Linked DNA regions of Schizosaccharomyces pombe. The protein of the gene in region 1 purifies or fractionates together with the protein of each later gene. This does not show direct contact. Each region holds a gene or a part of one and is shown in the gene's direction. Other genes may lie near its edges.

Region 1 (6,672 bases):
CATCAATGTTTTTGCTTGATTCAAGTCCCTCCAATTTCTCATTATCAGAAGATTGATTATCTAAATCACGCTTTCCAGTGACTTTCTTCTTCTTCTGCTGCTTTTTCTTTTTCTTTTTATTTTTTGCTTTCTTATTTGTAGAGACAATTGGAGACTCGCCTTCTACTAATGGTTCATCCTGCTCTTCCTCAGAAACACTTTTTTCTGCCTCTGAGTTAATAGCATTATTTTCTTTTTCGAGAATTTCGAACACGTTTACTACTTTTTTCCCGGAAGTTGAAGAAAACTCGTCATCCTCATCAGATTCACTGTCTAAAGCTTCTTCCAATAGCTCGGTTTGTCTTTGACGCTGAAGTTTCCGTAAAGCTCGTGAAGACATGAGAATGGTTTGTGGTAGACTAGAATGGCAGATGTAAGAATTTAACTCAGACCTATGAAAACACACCTCAATTTCAAGAACTTTTCGGTATGCTAAATTAATATATAACATACAGAAAATATTTCATTTTAAGACTGTTAGCAGTGAAGAATATTACGTTTCGTAGTTAAAAGGCGTTAAGGAAAATACAAGCCGGGAGCAACAATGATGTACAGAATATGTAATTAAAATCTAAGTAATAGAATTTTGCAATTGTGGGGTGGTAAACCGTTTTTACATATTTGTGGTTCATGGTTTATTGGAATTTTTGCTGATCGCAATAGGTTATCAGCCAAATGAAAATTAGAGGGGTTATTAATACAAAAAACTGTTAATGCAAATTTAGTATTAAAGTGAGAATAACGACCGTGTTACCTTTTTGTATGCCTATATTACCAGAATATATTATAAAGTAGTAAATAAATCAAATTAGTATTACCAGAGAAAGGAAAACATATTACTTTTTTAACATACGCCAATAATTCTTTTCTTCTTCTCCGGTAATTAGCTCAGCAATCAGGAATGGACGGCTAGATCCCTTTTTCCTATGTGCCCGAATATCATCATGACTGTTTTGTTTCCTTTCTTGTGTACGAAACGCGTTGATACACGTCTCAGCATGAAGCGGTGTTTTCCAACGTATTATCGCCTCTGTTTCGTCCTTCCTATAGTCTATATACATGGGCTCACATGCAATATTCTGAGTTTGCCGCGAAAAAACATAACTCAAGAGGCTGTGAATAGTAGATTTATTAGTTAAAGGATGGAGGTTCTTGATACGGGTCAAAAGATTCTTGGTAAAATCCAAATTATCTTCATCTTTATCAGTTTGTGAGGTTTTGGATACAGACTTGGTCATTTGTTTTTCTACTTTAGTAAGTTTGGGATAACGATTTTCAGGAAAGGAATTGGATGAATTTGAAACGTCTGAAGATGACGCTTTTACTAAATGGAGTTGATTTTCAAAATATTTTTCTTCACGATTTGTCCATTCTTTACGAGTCAACAGTACCCATCCAGGAGGGACAGGCAACTTGCTAAGTGCTGATTGATCAACCTTTTTGTACAAAATTACAAAAGCATAACCTTCAGGAGTACCGATAGCATCAACATAGGGAAGGAACTCTTTGAGGTATTTGCGAAGTTTCCCAGCCAAAAGTAAACTTTTATTAGACAGAGTAGCCGGAACTGGTTCAACGTAAATAATTCTATCATACAGTGGTATGTCAAGAGGAAGAACAATATTCTCATTTCTAATAACCATGTGTGAGGAATTATCGAAATGAAACAGCGCATTAGTAACATAAGATAAAGCATACTTCAAGTTATTTTGCGTTGGATTCGGGCGGATTCCTTTCCAGAAATCATCTTGCTGGATTAAAAAGGCCAAGTGCACTTTTTCTTTTTGCCTTTCTCGGTGAAAATAAATTTCTAATATAGAATCAACGGCTGATAAAAAGTCAGGATTTAACGGTTCAATAAGCTGTCTATCTTGTTGATTTAACATGAGTCCTCCGCTTATGGAATGACTTGGTTCTTTGCTGGCTTCATTATGTTTGTAATGCTCATCTTTCAATTTGTTGTTATTTCCATCTGCAATAGAATTATTTTCCTTCCCTGTAAATGCTTTAATTTTGCGAACATTCAGTTGCCTTGGCACAAACATTTTACTTCGCTCCTTAAAGTACGGTTTTCTAGTATCAATTAAAGTGAAGTCATTAATAATAAATAGAATTAGGTGCTCTTAATTAAAAAAAAAAGGGTTGTAAATTTTTGTTCTGCTTTCTCCCAATTTATGTTGAATGCGTAGGTGAAGAATAACTCGCGCTTGCCCAGCACCCACGACCTTGTCTTTCCAATTGTGGTTTTTAGACAAAAGCCCTTGGAAAGATGTCCAAAAGAAAGGAATTTGATGAAGATGCACCTGTAGACCCATCCGTAAGCCTTGAATTTACGATTTTTTATAAGGGCCTACTTTCTAACCAATGTCAGGATTTACTGGAGTTTATTAACTTGGGAGCCGGAAATGAAGTTGGTCGCAGTTGCCATGTTATTCAATACAAAGGGAAAACAGTAATGGTATTTTAATTTTTATTTTGTTATGATTGTGAATGCTAATTTTTGCTAGCTCGATGCCGGTGTTCACCCTGCGTATACTGGGCTTTCAGCTCTTCCTTTTTTTGATGAGTTTGATTTGAGCACTGTAGATGTACTTTTAATTAGCCAGTAAGTCCCTTTTGTACCACTACTTGAGACGACCATAGGTTATTAGATTAGAGTACTTCTTGTACCAATTACTATTATGGTCCCTTAGGCATTGATTCATTTTTTTTTGAAAAGTATTTCTAACTTAAGCAAGCTTCCATTTGGATCATGTAGCCTCGCTTCCCTATGTTATGCAAAAGACGAACTTTAGAGGTCGTGTCTTCATGACTCATCCTACAAAGGCAGTTTGCAAGTGGCTTTTATCTGACTACGTGAAAGTGAGGTATGTATTCTTAGCTCTGAGTATTCATTAACAACTCGCAGTAATGTAGGCATGGAAGATCAGCTTTACGATGAGAAAGATTTGTTAGCCGCTTTTGATAGAATCGAGGCTGTTGACTACCATTCAACTATAGAAGTTGAGGGTATAAAGTTTACACCCTATCATGCGGGCCATGTTTTGGGTGCCTGTATGTATTTTGTGGAAATGGCTGGAGTCAATATTTTATTTACAGGCGACTACTCACGAGAAGAAGATCGCCATTTGCATGTCGCTGAGGTTCCTCCTAAAAGACCAGATGTGCTGATCACAGAATCCACGTATGGTACAGCATCTCACCAACCAAGACTGGAGAAGGAGGCTAGACTGTTAAATATTATTCATTCCACTATTCGCAATGGAGGGAGAGTTTTGATGCCTGTCTTTGCTCTTGGAAGAGCTCAGGAGTTATTACTCATTCTCGATGAATATTGGAATAATCATCTCGATCTTCGCTCAGTCCCTATCTATTATGCATCATCGCTAGCGAGAAAGTGTATGGCCATTTTTCAAACTTATGTTAACATGATGAATGATAATATTCGAAAAATTTTTGCCGAACGAAATCCGTTCATCTTTCGTTTTGTCAAAAGTCTAAGAAATTTAGAAAAATTCGATGATATTGGCCCTTCTGTAATATTGGCAAGTCCTGGTATGCTACAAAATGGTGTTTCAAGAACCCTCTTAGAAAGATGGGCTCCTGACCCTCGAAATACGTTACTTCTTACTGGTTATTCTGTTGAAGGGACAATGGCAAAGCAAATTACAAATGAGCCTATTGAAATTGTGTCACTTTCAGGCCAAAAGATTCCTAGAAGAATGGCAGTGGAGGAACTTTCTTTTGCGGCTCATGTTGATTATCTTCAAAACAGTGAATTCATTGACCTGGTAAATGCCGATCACATTGTATGTTTAGTTACTAATGTAACGTTAAAATTAACTAATTATAGATTTTGGTGCATGGTGAGCAAACAAATATGGGTCGATTAAAAAGTGCTCTAGCCAGCAAATTTCACAATAGAAAAGTCGATGTCAAAGTATATACCCCTCGAAATTGCGTACCGTTATATCTTCCTTTCAAAGGGGAACGGTTAGTGAGAGCTTTGGGAAAGGTCGCTGTTCATAAACCAAAAGAAGGCGACATTATGAGTGGAATTTTAATTCAAAAGGATGCCAATTATAAATTGATGTCAGCTGAAGATCTTCGAGATTTCAGTGACCTTACTACCACCGTTTTAACCCAAAAACAAGTCATTCCATTTTTTTCGAGTATGGAGCTTGCAAATTTCCATTTAAAACAAATGTTTGGATATGTCAAACAGTCAAAAACAAAGGCAGGACAACCTCAATATACAGTAATGGACGCCATTACTTTGACTTTAATCCAAGAACATAAGCTTGCTCTTGAATGGGTTGGCAACATTATGAATGATACAATAGCTGATTCAGTAATTACTATTCTACTAGGCATTGAAAGCAGTCCTGCTTCTGTCAAGTGTAAGTCTGCGTTTAATGTGGAACAATTTCTAACCATTAATAGTGACGAGCCATAAATGTAACCATTTGCATTCGCATTTAGATAAGCCTCCAAAAGTATCAAAGGAGGAAGATCGTATTAAAAAGCTGATGATGTTTTTGGACAACCAATTTGGCGAAAGTATGACTAAAACGGAAAAGGGGGTTGAAATCAAATTTGAAAAATATGAAGCGTCTATTGATTTTTCGACTATGAAAGTTGAATGTTCAAATGAAGCGTTACGATCTAGAGTCGTACATGTTTTATCCCGTGCGATCAATACTATCCTTCCATTTTCTGAAGCTTCACAAAACGACGTCTCCGAAGATGATTTTGAAAATGAAGAATCTGACGATGATAAAATCTTTGAGCAGCAAACGAAAATAGAAGATGATGTTAAAAATGAAAATAAGACAGAACCAGTTGAAGAACAGAAAAGCGAAGAAAAGAATGAACAGCCCAACCTTAAGAAAGAAGAACTTTCTTGAAAATTATTTACGAACGAATCTTTGCCTTTCATAGCCATGACACTTTTATGGCTACCTTCATTTTTTGCTATTTAAGTCTCAGTAGTTATCATGCACTCTGGTATTTCTGTTAAAAAATGCTGTTTCTTAGTCATGCGTGATCGAATCTTTAATTTATTCTTGCCATTTACGTCAAAGACAAACAATTTAATAGCCATTCCAAAAAAATTGACTAGTACTTAAAAAAATGCTATAACTATTTAGATTTTTGTAAGGAAAACTTTTTTTGTAGCTATTATGAACTCCAAAGACACTACCAATCGGGTTAATTAAGCAAATTTTTGTACCGACTACCAACACCAACACCACAATGTCCAGCAATAAGCTGCCCACCTCTAAGTATGACTTGTCCACCTATTGGGGACGTGTTCGTGTATGTTATATTACTCTTTGTATTTATGCTAATGCGGCAGCACGCTATGGATATTACTGATCCAAGGTAATTATAATTTAACTACATGATCGTTTGAGCACCTAACATCTGTAGGACACTTCTCTCTACATCTCAAGATTTAAATAGCGCCGTCAAAACTCTGGAAGACTATGGAGCGGGTAAAATTGCACAATTAGATGAAACGGTTTGGCATGCAAAGAAAAGTATGTAGTTATACGATACAAATCCGATCAAATGTTATATTATTTGATTAGTTATTTTTTTTGTTATTAAATATATTTTCAAATTAAAAAAAAAAACATATTAACGATTTTAGTTGTTGATTCAACTTTGCATCCCGATACTAAGGAACCTGTTTTCTTACCATTCCGAATGTCATGCTTTGTCTTGGTAAGATAATACTATTTAGTGACTAAATGCTAATCATTAGACTAATTTGGTCGTCACAGCAGGTATGCTGCAACCAAACCTTGGTACCGCTGGAACCGTTTTTTGGCAGTGGATGAATCAATCTGTAAATGTAGCTTTTAATTCTGCAAATGCAAATAAATCTACGCAATTGACTCTTCCGCAGATGACTAAATCCTATATTTATGCTGTTAGTGCAAGTTGTGGTGTTGCTATTGGTCTCAACAAAATTGTGCCTCGTATGAACTTTCTTTCTTCTTCGTCCAAAGCGGTACTCGGAAGATTGACCCCTTTTGCTGCTGTTGCTTCAGCTGGTGTTTTAAATGTCTTTTTGATGCGCGGCGAAGAACTTCGTCAGGTATGAGTTTTAGCCTAAGTTTATTTATTCTGGGTACAAACCTATGTATTGAAGTTTCATACATTGGTTTTGTGTTTTTTCATTCTTTACTAATGTTTGTATAGGGTATCGACGTTTTCGATAAAGAGGGAGAATCTTTAGGAAAAAGCAAAAAGGCGGCGTTTTATGCTGTTGGAGAGACTGCTCTTTCCCGTGTAATCAACGCTTCACCAATTATGGTTATCCCTCCTTTAGTCTTAATGAGACTACAAAAGCAGAACTGGCTTCGTACTCGCCCTAAGTTGACCATCCCTGTCAATCTCGGACTTATCACTCTGACTTCCTTAATAGCCCTTCCTTTGGCAATTGGCGTCTTCCCTGCAAGAGAAAAAATTTCCCCGTTTAAGCTAGAGCCCCAATTTCACCATTTGAAGGATAAGTCTGACCAGCCCATCGTGGAGGTTGAATTCAACCGTGGATTGTAGGAATTTTTTGTAATAGTTATTCGTTTGTTTATATCCATCCCTGTCTTTGAAAATAGACACTCT
Region 2 (5,295 bases), 3.3 Mb from region 1:
CGAAAACCATTGGTTTTTACAGACCATAGTCCATCAACATAAACCAACAACACACAATTACCTATGAGCCCATCTGAGTCGCAATATGACTTCAAGCTGCTTATGTTAGTCAATGAATAAAACGACCAATTAAAACTTACAGTAAATATGATTACAAACAAAGATATCAAGATAATTATTATCCAGGTAATAGAGTTCATCTTCCTATCCGCGCTGGATTTACCAAATATATCAAGCATATCAAAAATGACTTTACAGCGTCTATTGAGAACATTTGTACGGGGTCCAATTTCCAAGTATTCGCGAAATGCAGTATATAAAGGTAGAAGTAAGGGTTCAGAGTCCCATAAAAAGTCTGGAGTGTCTAATATGTTACTAATAAGGTTGACATCCACTCGTAACTGAAACAAATGACCGCTCATGCGAACAACCTCTACCCTTGAAAGACCTAAATGACCGTATAAAGCAAGCTTTTTTGGATAGAATAATGCAGAGTTCATTGTGACGTCTGTTCGTAACTCAAACCTAGAAAGTTTGACGGATTGAGCCAAAGCATGAGACATTGCCAGCTTCATTTTGTTGTCCGCTGACGGGATATGAATCATATCATTATATATCCTCGGCCTTTTTGTATTCGGCGCGTAATGAAAATGTAAATCTTCAATTTCACATTCCTCTTCTGCTAAAGGCTTAACCATTAAAGAATTATCACCACCAAAAGTTAAATCGGCAAGAATATCCTTTTCTTGACTCAAAGAAAAATTCCAAAAAACCACGACACCATAAGAGAAGACGAAAACTAAATGGCGTTAATAGGAAATTAGCTAAACAGTTAGGATTAACTTACTTTCAGATATTCGATACAATTGAGATATTATATGAGAATCAAAATTTTCGTTATCCGGTTTGTCAGAGTCCAAATGCTTTTGATTGTGATTAGACGCACTAGAGGGCATATCGTCCGGTGCTGGGCCACTAGAAACTCGGCAAGATTCAGACCTGCCATACACTAAAGGTAAATGATATACAGCGTATAGAACCTCATCATATTTCTTTGCGCGGACTTTGTGATAATGTTTTAAAAAATGTTTAACCTTAGGCAACTGGAAAGCTTCACAGACACAATATGCTGTAGCACGAGGAAATCCTAACTCTTCACGTTTGTCACGAGGTAAGTTTTCTAATTTGATTAAATTATAGGCATCGCTAGGAGTAAGCAAGTCCTCATAGTTGCTTTCTTCTTCGTTAAATGAATTGACAGCATGGTTCTCGGGTAGTAGTACAAGTTTCTGAGATGTTTTAGTAGTTCTTTGAGGAATATGAGCAGCAGCATGTCGGTTTTTTAAGAACCATCCTAATGGATGATCGATTTTCCTAGCATTCCGCCGTCTTTGAAAAAGGCCTTGAGCTGCAGATATTCGATGATCTCCAAAACGTGGTGGGCTACCATGCTGAGGCGTTATTCGTGTACTTTCTGAATTTATTGGGGGAGGAATATGCACAGGAGTTGATAATCGAGTATTAATTGTCCGTTTAGGGGGTAAATTTAGTTTATCCTTAGTAGACATCGAATGTGTACTTCGAGCGTTGGTTTACTGGTCATGCCAATATAAGTCTATGTCTCTGATACGCAGTATAATACTTTAATCAAGTATTATATGCAACTAAGTAAAATTACAATTATTTTGAAAGATAAAATGGTTGTGCTTAGTAGTGTATGAGGAAAGTAAACTTGATTAACTATGGAGCTTATTTCAAATTATCAGAGAGCAAGTGAATAAAGTAGGGTATTAATTACTAACCAATATTAAAAGAGAGACACAAATTGGTGTCTTTAGACAATAAAGATTTCTATGTAAAATATGCAGTGTCAATAATACGACTAAGCAGTTCAATTTCCTGAATTTTTACTCAGTTTTTGTTAAAAAATAAATTTCAAATGAATAAAACGAGCACATGTAGGTTGGATACTGCCATTAAAGTACGACTACAAATAAAATATTAAGCAATTTGAGAAACCTTATGTGGAACGTTAATCAAATGTTAAATAAGCAAAATTCATCTAAAAACAACAAATGGATATTATTTAGACATTAGTTTCATTTAATGTTATTACATTGTATAAATTAAACGTACTATTCTTTAACTGTCTAATCAAGCATGGATAGATGATCAAAGATATCATTACTGTATGTTTACTATGAACACTTGATCTAGGTGGATTAATTTATTTGGCGTGCCTAATTTGGAACGAAATTAATATCATCTTCAACATCCCACCGATTTACTTATACTAAATAAAAGAAGTCTTTGAACTAAATTAATAAAATTTTTTTCAATGTATTTTACAAGCACAATCGTTCCAAATATCATGTCAAAAGATACGATTGCGTATCCATACCTTTGGCCAAAGTCATACTAGCTCATTTTCCCAGCACGTAAAACGCGCCAAATATCTATATATTAGAATACCATACGAAAAACGGTAAAGTTTATACTACATTAGAAGGAACTTTAAGTTGGTTTTATTTAAATTAAAGATTGATTTTATTGCTGCTAAATAAGGAATTTCACATCTTTGGGGAATTGGTTAATTCATCATGGAAAGAGCTGAAAATGCTAGAATTATTCAAAAGCCTATGACTCGTAGGACTGTGGACTATGGATCAGGGCTATCAAAGTATATTGTCAATCGACATTTGCGTAGCAATCGCTATCACATACATGTACCGAGACCAAATCCGAATCAAATAATTAACTTGTATCCCCCTTATGAATACAAGTATAATAACACATCTTCCTTGTGCACCAAATATATTCATACGTCTGCAAATAAAGCTAGACATGTTATTAACGTTGTGCGCTGGACTCCAGATGGTCGAAGACTGTTGACAGGTTCTTCAACTGGTGAATTTACTCTGTGGAATGGTCTCACATTTAATTTTGAGTTAATTAATCAGAGTCATGATTATGCCGTTCGTTGTGCTGAATGGAGTACAGATGGGCGCTGGCTTATTTCCGGCGATGGAGGAGGCATGGTAAAGTATTTTGAACCGAATTTAAACAATGTCAAAATTGTTCAAGCTCATGAAATGGAAGTTAGAGATGTTGCCTTTTCACCCAATGATAGCAAATTTGTCACAGCGAGTGATGATGGTTCATTAAAAGTATGGAATTTCCATATGAGTACTGAAGAGCTGAAACTAACTGGTCATGGATGGGATGTAAAAACCGTCGATTGGCATCCTTCAAAAGGTCTCTTGGCTTCTGGTTCTAAAGACAATTTAGTGAAATTTTGGGATCCAAGAACCGGTACATGTATTGCGACTTTGCATGGTCATAAAAACACAATAATGCAAGCATCTTTTCAGAAAAATTTTGGATCAAATTATTTGGCTACAGTCTCTAGGGATAGCACTTGTCGAGTATTTGACTTACGTGCCATGAAGGACGTTCGAGTTTTACGTGGTCATGAAAAGGACGTAAACTGCGTAACATGGCATCCTCTTTATCCTAATTTGCTTACTACTGGTGGCTCCGATGGAAGTGTCAATCATTATTCACTTGATGAACCTCCATTACTTTCTCAGCAAAAGTATCATGAAAAGCATCCAAATGTTACTCTTTCCGCGTCTTCTTATTTACTATACCCTACTGCTGAAATTCCATTTGCTCATGATTTGGGTATTTGGAGTATGCAATATCATCCTCTTGGACATCTTTTATGTACAGGTTCAAATGATAAAACTACACGTTTTTGGTCAAGATCTCGCCCAGATGACAAGGAATCCACCATGGATCGCCATCATTTAGGTGAAGAACAGTCTGAGGCCATGCTAAGTCAGAGAAAAGCAGCGATCGAAGAAGACGATAATTATGAACCTGACGAAAACCCTCTCACCGAAACATTAGCAAATGCCCATAATCCCCAATTTTCTGGAGTACTTAATCTTCCGGGTTTAGGGACTATGCCCTCCTTTCCATCGCCTTATCAACATGGACAACCTCAAATTCCCGGTATGCTTCATGCATCTTTGAGCAATTCATACGCTGAGCCGTCAACTCAAAACTCTTTTATCCCAGGTCTCACCTCAAAGTCACAAGATGGGTATCCTCAAAACTATCGATAATACATTTCTTTGTTATTTGAAAAACATATTTACTTGGCATTAATTAGATTTAAAAAAAAAAAAATTCACACCGCAGCTCACTGGATTCATACTAAAAATTGGGTTTGGCAAAGCAAAACCTACACTAATTTTTTTTTTAATGATAACTAAGCAACAATTTACATTATACCATTCATACTCGACAAGCACTTCTATATCTCGCTCTCCATACAAGATGTTCCCCAAATTGAATTACCGAGTGTCAACGATTTTCGTAAATAAATCGTTAATAGTTAGGTATGCTACATTTAGTAAGTTGTTCACCACCAAATTTTCAAAGATCTTATGTGATTAATAATTGTGGTTCAATTAGTCATATATTGATTTTTATAAGAATTCTACAAGATAGGTATAGAAAACCATTCTATCCATGTCTTAGAGATGGGTAAAAAAAGCGTGTCATTTAACCGCAATAATTATAAAAAGCGTAAAAATGAGAGAACTGAACCACTTCCAAGGAGGATTTTTAAAAACGATAAACCGAGTAAATTTAAATCTAAAAGAAAGGAAAAGGATAAAAATTCAGACGCTTATGACGAAATGCTTCTGAATAACAATTTTACGCTTCTGGATCAAGAAGAACCCATGGTTGAAATTGGAAGTAAAAAATCACGTAATGATAATGATTCAGAAGGAATACGTGATAAAGGTGGAGTAGAAATTTCAAACAAAAACGATCCATATATTCAATTTGGAAAAGCCGATCCATTAGAGCCGCTGGAAAAACCTGATTTACCAGAGGAAGCAATAAAACGTGGTGAACCTACCATTCTTTTAGGTATACCAAAAAGAGAAGGTAGAAAAACTAACCCTGTACACGACAAGGCTGTCGAAAATAATTCTGATTTTATCAAGTTCGATTGGAACAGCGATGAAGACGAGGATAGTGTTAGTAATGATAAAAGCAAGAATAATGAGTCCTTAAAAAAGTCTTCTAAAAATGAGATCCCTGGCTTTATGCGTCAACGAGGCCGATTTTTTCATGAAGCAAATGAAAAATCGGATTCTAACCGTAAACGAAAACGCCAAGCGTATGAGCTTGATTCTCAATCATGCCCTTGGCACCGTCAGTATAAGGTAGAGCGAGAAGTCTCTAGAATTTTTCACCAAGACATTCTTCACTTTA
Region 3 (5,302 bases), 2.9 Mb from region 1:
ATCCATTTGAATCAACCACTCTGATGTCTGATGGTGTAGTCGGTTCAAAACCATATGTTGCTCCCGAAGTTCTTACTCAGAAACCATATGATCCGAGCGCTGTAGATGTTTGGTCTTGTGCAATTGTTTACTGTTGTATTGCTTTAAAGAGATTTCCATGGAAAGTGCCGCATACATCGGATAAACGTTTTAATTTATACGTTACTCAACGAAATGACCCTAACACGAAAAGCCAATTGATAGAATCTTTACCGATGAACTCAAGAGATACGATTTATCATATGCTGGACATTGATTTTAATACAAGATGTAGCATTTCGGGAGCACGAAGCACTACATGGATGCAACAAGTTCGGAAAACTCTAATCTAAGGAGAATTTGTCTACTTTAGAGATTTTTATCTATTTATTTTTTTTATGATGTTAAGGATTATGAAGTCCCTTTAATGATCGCTATTAACTTATAAAGGGCAAGGACGTTGAAGTGTTCACTTGTAGACGCTTTACTTCATCGTGAACTTGAGCAAATCTATTACTAAGAGCCATGAATAATTTGTGCTCCTCTTTGATAGTTTTCAGTAATGCTAGATAGTTAATACAAGTTTTACAAATTAAAGGCATACCCTCGGGACTATTATTCTGTGGCGTAGTCTCAACTTGCTCCAAATGTTGTTCAAGTTCACCAATAGTGGCAGCATACAGATCTGTACGTTTCTTAGCGTTTTCTGTAAATTGCTCAAAGTAGTTCATTAGGGGATCGTTTGACGCGAAGGGATAGGTTGCGCCAGGTGTTTTAAAAACGTCCAAAATACGTGAACTAATGCGAGCATTCGAAGTATCTTCGTCAACTACACGCTTCGTAGTTTCAATTTCGTCGGAATCAATTAAAAGTGCAGTCGAGACAGAAGATAAACGCTTTATTTTAGTTAGAAACAAATAAAACTTGGAGATAATAGAAGGAAATAACTCACTCTCTGTACTTCAGCGACATCATTAGGGACGGATTCAACCAATTCGGAAACAGTCCCCAACTTAGTTTGTAGTTCCTCTGCAAGTTGGATTTGGCTAAAAATTTCTTTGCTACGGACATGATTAGAACAAATTTTGTACATAAGGTAACACATACTCTAAGTCATCTAAAAATTTTTGAGTATTAGCGTTTAAGCTCGAGTATCTCGTCGTTGCATTAATAGCTGGATTAGAAGGGAGTTGCCTGTTTTTTTGTTAATGAAAAAAAAATTTAATAATTAACTTACGTTGTTGACGGTTGCTGCTGAGCTGCAGAAAAGAATGGAGTAGTTTGAGTATTATTGCTTAAACCAAAACCAGTTGAACCAGACGGTTGTGTGGATTGACCAAAAAGGCCAGCGGAAGCTGGTTGTGTAGAAAATTGACCAAAAGTCGAAGTATTAGGGCGGTTTTGATCAAATAGACCTCCTGTAGTTCCGATGTTAGACTGTCCGAAAAGAGAAGTATTTGCTTGAGCAGGCTGTGTTTGCGATTGTGTTTGATTTTGACCAGATAATCCAAATAATCCTCCAGTAGGGGCTGCTTGAGCAGGTTGTGCTTGTGTTTGATTCTGATTGAACAAACCACCAGGTGCTTGAGGTTTAGTAGTGGAAGCTCCAAACAGGCTGCCACCAGGTGCCGCTTGAGGGTTTTGTCCAAACAAATTTAGGCCGGGGGTAGTAGATGTAGCGTTTGGCTTATTTCCAAACAAGCTTCCACCAGTTTGAGGTTTTGTTTGACCAAAAGCTCCTCCTGTTACGCCTCCAAACCCAGTCGAAGCGGGCGTATTGGCCTGCGTATTGTTACCAAAAGTATTAGAAGAAAAAAGTCCTGTGCCTGCAGAAGTACCAGTATCTGAAAAGGTTAATATATGAATAAGCACAAAATTCGAAAAGTAAACTTGAAGACTTGTTCACCTAAAGAAACATACTTTGGTTTTGGGTTCCTGTGGACCCAAATGAGGGTGTTTTATTTAACCCGAACATTGCTTAAAGTATTAATACACGAATGTCCCTAGTGTAAATACCATGCAAAGATTATCATGAAAAACCACTCAGGTTATCTTTTCTAAAAAGGGTAATTGTAGAATCACAATCAATGATTAATATTATAATTAAGCAAAGATGGAAAAGATTAGTTATCTAAAGTTTCAAATTGAACTAGCTTTCAGGGTATCGTATAGTCAAATACTGCTGTGTTCGCAGAGCAAATTCAATTGTTAGTGTTAACTACAATGTGGCTCACTAAGTTGGCTTTCACGAGTGTTGGTCTGTTTCAACCCGTTTTAGCGCAAAATATTTTTACCCAGGTAAATGAAGTACGCTATGAAGTCCACTAGTATATACCGTACAACTCGGTACAATGTTTAGTGGACTAATGGCCCTAAGTGGTAAAGAAGAAGGAATCCATAATTTCAGGTGCGAGACTCAGTCAATGAATGGACTTGCCCCATATACATTTTAGAAGTGGGTTTTTACTATGTCAAATGCTGATCAGCACATGGATGTTGATGAGGATGAATATTTATATGGAGAAACCATAGAGGAACGGAATGATGGAGTTACAGTGTCAAATGCCAAGTCACCAGAGCAAGCAAGTGAAGAAAGCGATGATTCAGTAAGATTTCAATTAAAATGATACTGCTAACTGCTAATTTTGTAGGATATTGAATTTATCATTGAAACAAAGCCAGGTGAAAGAGCAGAACCATTAGGGTATGTAAACCAAAATAATTGATTTCAGATTATACTAATAATGTTAGTGGATCGATTGCAACATTAGGTTCAACCCGACCTTCTGCTAAACCTCAAGTAGAGAAAACTGCTGTCGAAGTAAAAACTACAGAACCCCAAGATTTATCGACAGCAGAAACTGCACCTAAAGTTGACATTGACGCTGTTCCTACAATTGATGGTAAAAACATTTTTGAGATTGATTTGGAGTCTTTTGATGATAAACCATGGCGCAAGCCTGGTGCAGATATCTCAGATTATTTTAACTATGGATTTGATGAATTTACATGGGCTGCTTACTGTGCCAAACAAACGACTTTGCGTGACGACTTTAGCCCCCAAAAATTTATGGCAAGTCTTGCTCAGATCCCGGGTCCTTTACCTTCTGGCAACGTACCATCACCTGCCGAGTTTCAAGCTATGATGGCTTCTGGATTTCCTCCATTTATGCCTATTCCTCCGCCTATTGGAGGCCCACAAGAGGATATGGGGTACTCGCGCAATTTTCCAGTCCATGCATCTTCAAACTATAATACTACACATACATCTGGTGGTGGTGTTCATTCAGGTGCAGCTACACCTAATGCGTATGTAAATAACAATCCTTCATCTTCTAGACGTGAAAGTGAAAGTCCAGCGAATTCCCCTAATATTACATCGAGTGCTGGTATGACGCATGCACAACCTACTCATAATCCTACATCGAGTTATGGGAATGGAGCCTCTACGAACTATAATGCCTCAAGACCTCCTAGTAACCATCCTCACAGTAGCAACTATCCTTCCTCATCAAGGCGAAAACCATCTCCGGACAGATACTCCAACTACTCCTCTAGAGGTTCTGGCGGCCGATATCGACGCAACAGATATTAAGATAAATACAATAACGTTTGTGTATGCAAATCTTAGGAGAATCGTTTTAATTGTATGCTATGGGGTGTCGACTACTTCTACAAGGACAACGGTTTCAAAAGTTAAAAGCTGGTGAATGAAATAATATTCATAAGATCATAAACATGTATACTCATCATTACTATGGAATTCTGTATTAACAACATAAAATCAAAACTGAAGATACTTCAGACACATCAAAGCAATGACGGGTAATCAACTGGGCAGCAATTAAGCTTGGGTTTCATCATCAATTTCTTCAAGGGCTCTTTGGGCGCGGGTTTTGGCTTGCTTGGATACATTAGGATTATGCATAGTAGCTTTATAACCTCCTCGGACATTTTCAATGTTCTTGCCCTCAAGTTGATCTTCTTCGACCAAATCACCTGTTTTCATAGGATCATCAACAAAACCCGACTCATCTCCCAACACATTTAGACCCTCCTCGTTGTCAAAGTCTGCATCCTCATCATAATCACCGAGATCCTCATAATCAAGATCACGGCCTCCAGCTTGAGCGGAATAATCACCAGTCTCTTGGCCGGAAGAATGACTTTCTATATAGTCTTCGGCTCTTTCTTTGGCTTGTTGTGATACATTGGGATTGTGTAGGGTGGCTTTCTTGCCAGCGAGAACACGATTAGGATCAGGCATTGTTTATAAATAAAATTGGAGTTCTTTCTGATTTAATAAAACGGCTTACAAAAAGTACTACGGTGCGAAATATTACTTCTTGAAAATTCGAATCGATAGTGATGTACCCCGTGCTCTATATATAATATTTGTAAGAGTCCTCGGAAATTGTGACATCAATTTATTTTCCATCCCATTCAGCATTTCGTAATGAGAATTGCAATCGTATTTTTGCTTTTGGGTTAATTCAGCGACAAATTAGCCCATTTGATTTTACGTAGACTATTTCGCTCAACAGATGATGCGGTACATCCGCTTTTCACTCGTTAATTGAAAGTAATTGAAACTAGCAGCTCTATCGATGCCATCATGTGGCGATGTGTAAAGTCTATATTTCATTCTCACGTAAAGTAGCATAATCCTTTGACATTCGCTATGTGGCAGACGGGTATCACGACTAAGCGGATGACAAACGGTGTCGGGCATAAAATATGGGATATCATCCCGAGCTAGTTGAAGCCAAAATCATGTAAGTATTAAAATTGGAATTTGTTGCTTCAATTGATGTCTGAAATTCTTTACCTCTCTATCACAACACATGTAAGGAGCGGTATAGATATGCGAAGCAATCCGCTATAAGTGGTTGCAATGAAGCAAAAGCAATAAAATAATCAACTGAATGAACCATTTTCATCTGAATAAACAATAATAAAAGGAACCCTTTCAAATCGAGTGTATGGTAAGATGTTAATTAGATGGAATAAGCAGCCTCGACACATTTAATCGGCGAGAAGAAAACTAGTTTAGCAGTTTACAGTTATATATGAAATTACTATTTTAAGTATCTGTAGATTTCAAAAAGACAGAAATATAAGTTCATCAATTATACCTACGCAATTGAAACACTTTCTCTAATGTCAAATGTGTTAATCTTTGGGCTTAAACAACTGTAGTTGAGTTACTCGAAAGATTCGCAGAATGCAACCTACTTGATATATTTAACAGGAGTGAATATTATTGGAGAAATTATAATGCAAA

What was found.
Region 2: the proteins of ysh1 (region 1) and pfs2 purify together in Schizosaccharomyces pombe (affinity purification with mass spectrometry, with the first as the bait; one study listed by BioGRID). This does not show direct contact.
Region 3: the proteins of ysh1 (region 1) and iss1 purify together in Schizosaccharomyces pombe (affinity purification with mass spectrometry, with the first as the bait; one study listed by BioGRID). This does not show direct contact.

The regions. Positions count from the first base shown.
Region 1 is NC_003424.3:3,619,281-3,625,952, reverse strand, and holds ysh1 (cleavage and polyadenylation specificity factor complex endoribonuclease subunit Ysh1), read left to right. Parts: upstream 1-2,242; 5' UTR 2,243-2,308; coding exon 2,309-2,356; intron 2,357-2,410; coding exon 2,411-2,497; intron 2,498-2,543; exon of another isoform or gene 2,544-2,546; coding exon 2,547-2,644; exon of another isoform or gene 2,645-2,777; coding exon 2,778-2,906; exon of another isoform or gene 2,907-2,947; coding exon 2,948-3,848; exon of another isoform or gene 3,849-3,892; coding exon 3,893-4,439; exon of another isoform or gene 4,440-4,482; coding exon 4,483-4,946; 3' UTR 4,947-5,192; downstream 5,193-6,672. Other genes in the region: protein Rqc1, read right to left, coding at 1-379; pof8 (LARP7 family RNA-binding protein Pof8/Lar7), read right to left, coding at 876-2,084; sideroflexin Fsf1, read left to right, coding at 5,296-5,358, 5,399-5,424, 5,473-5,582, 5,696-5,769, 5,810-6,145, 6,250-6,609. UniProt on the Schizosaccharomyces pombe protein: Component of the cleavage factor I (CF I) involved in pre-mRNA 3'-end processing.
Region 2 is NC_003424.3:317,374-322,668, forward strand, and holds pfs2 (mRNA cleavage and polyadenylation specificity factor complex, WD repeat protein Pfs2), read left to right. Parts: upstream 1-2,433; 5' UTR 2,434-2,600; coding exon 2,601-4,130; 3' UTR 4,131-4,452; downstream 4,453-5,295. Other genes in the region: sif3 (Sad1-interacting factor 3), read right to left, coding at 58-96, 141-799, 848-1,568; TRAMP complex poly(A) polymerase subunit Cid14, read left to right, coding at 4,551-5,295. UniProt on the Schizosaccharomyces pombe protein: Required for 3'-end cleavage and polyadenylation of pre-mRNAs. Also involved in chromosome segregation where it has a role in chromosome attachment to the mitotic spindle.
Region 3 is NC_003424.3:751,218-756,519, forward strand, and holds iss1 (fip1-like pre-mRNA polyadenylation factor), read left to right. Parts: upstream 1-2,453; 5' UTR 2,454-2,486; coding exon 2,487-2,624; exon of another isoform or gene 2,625-2,669; coding exon 2,670-2,722; exon of another isoform or gene 2,723-2,769; coding exon 2,770-3,613; 3' UTR 3,614-3,862; coding exon of another isoform or gene 3,863-4,285; 3' UTR 4,286-4,459; downstream 4,460-5,302. Other genes in the region: serine/threonine protein kinase Ppk8, read left to right, coding at 1-371; nucleoporin Nup45, read right to left, coding at 456-583, 623-914, 971-1,079, 1,126-1,212, 1,256-1,862, 1,939-1,993; protein cum1, read right to left, coding at 3,863-4,285.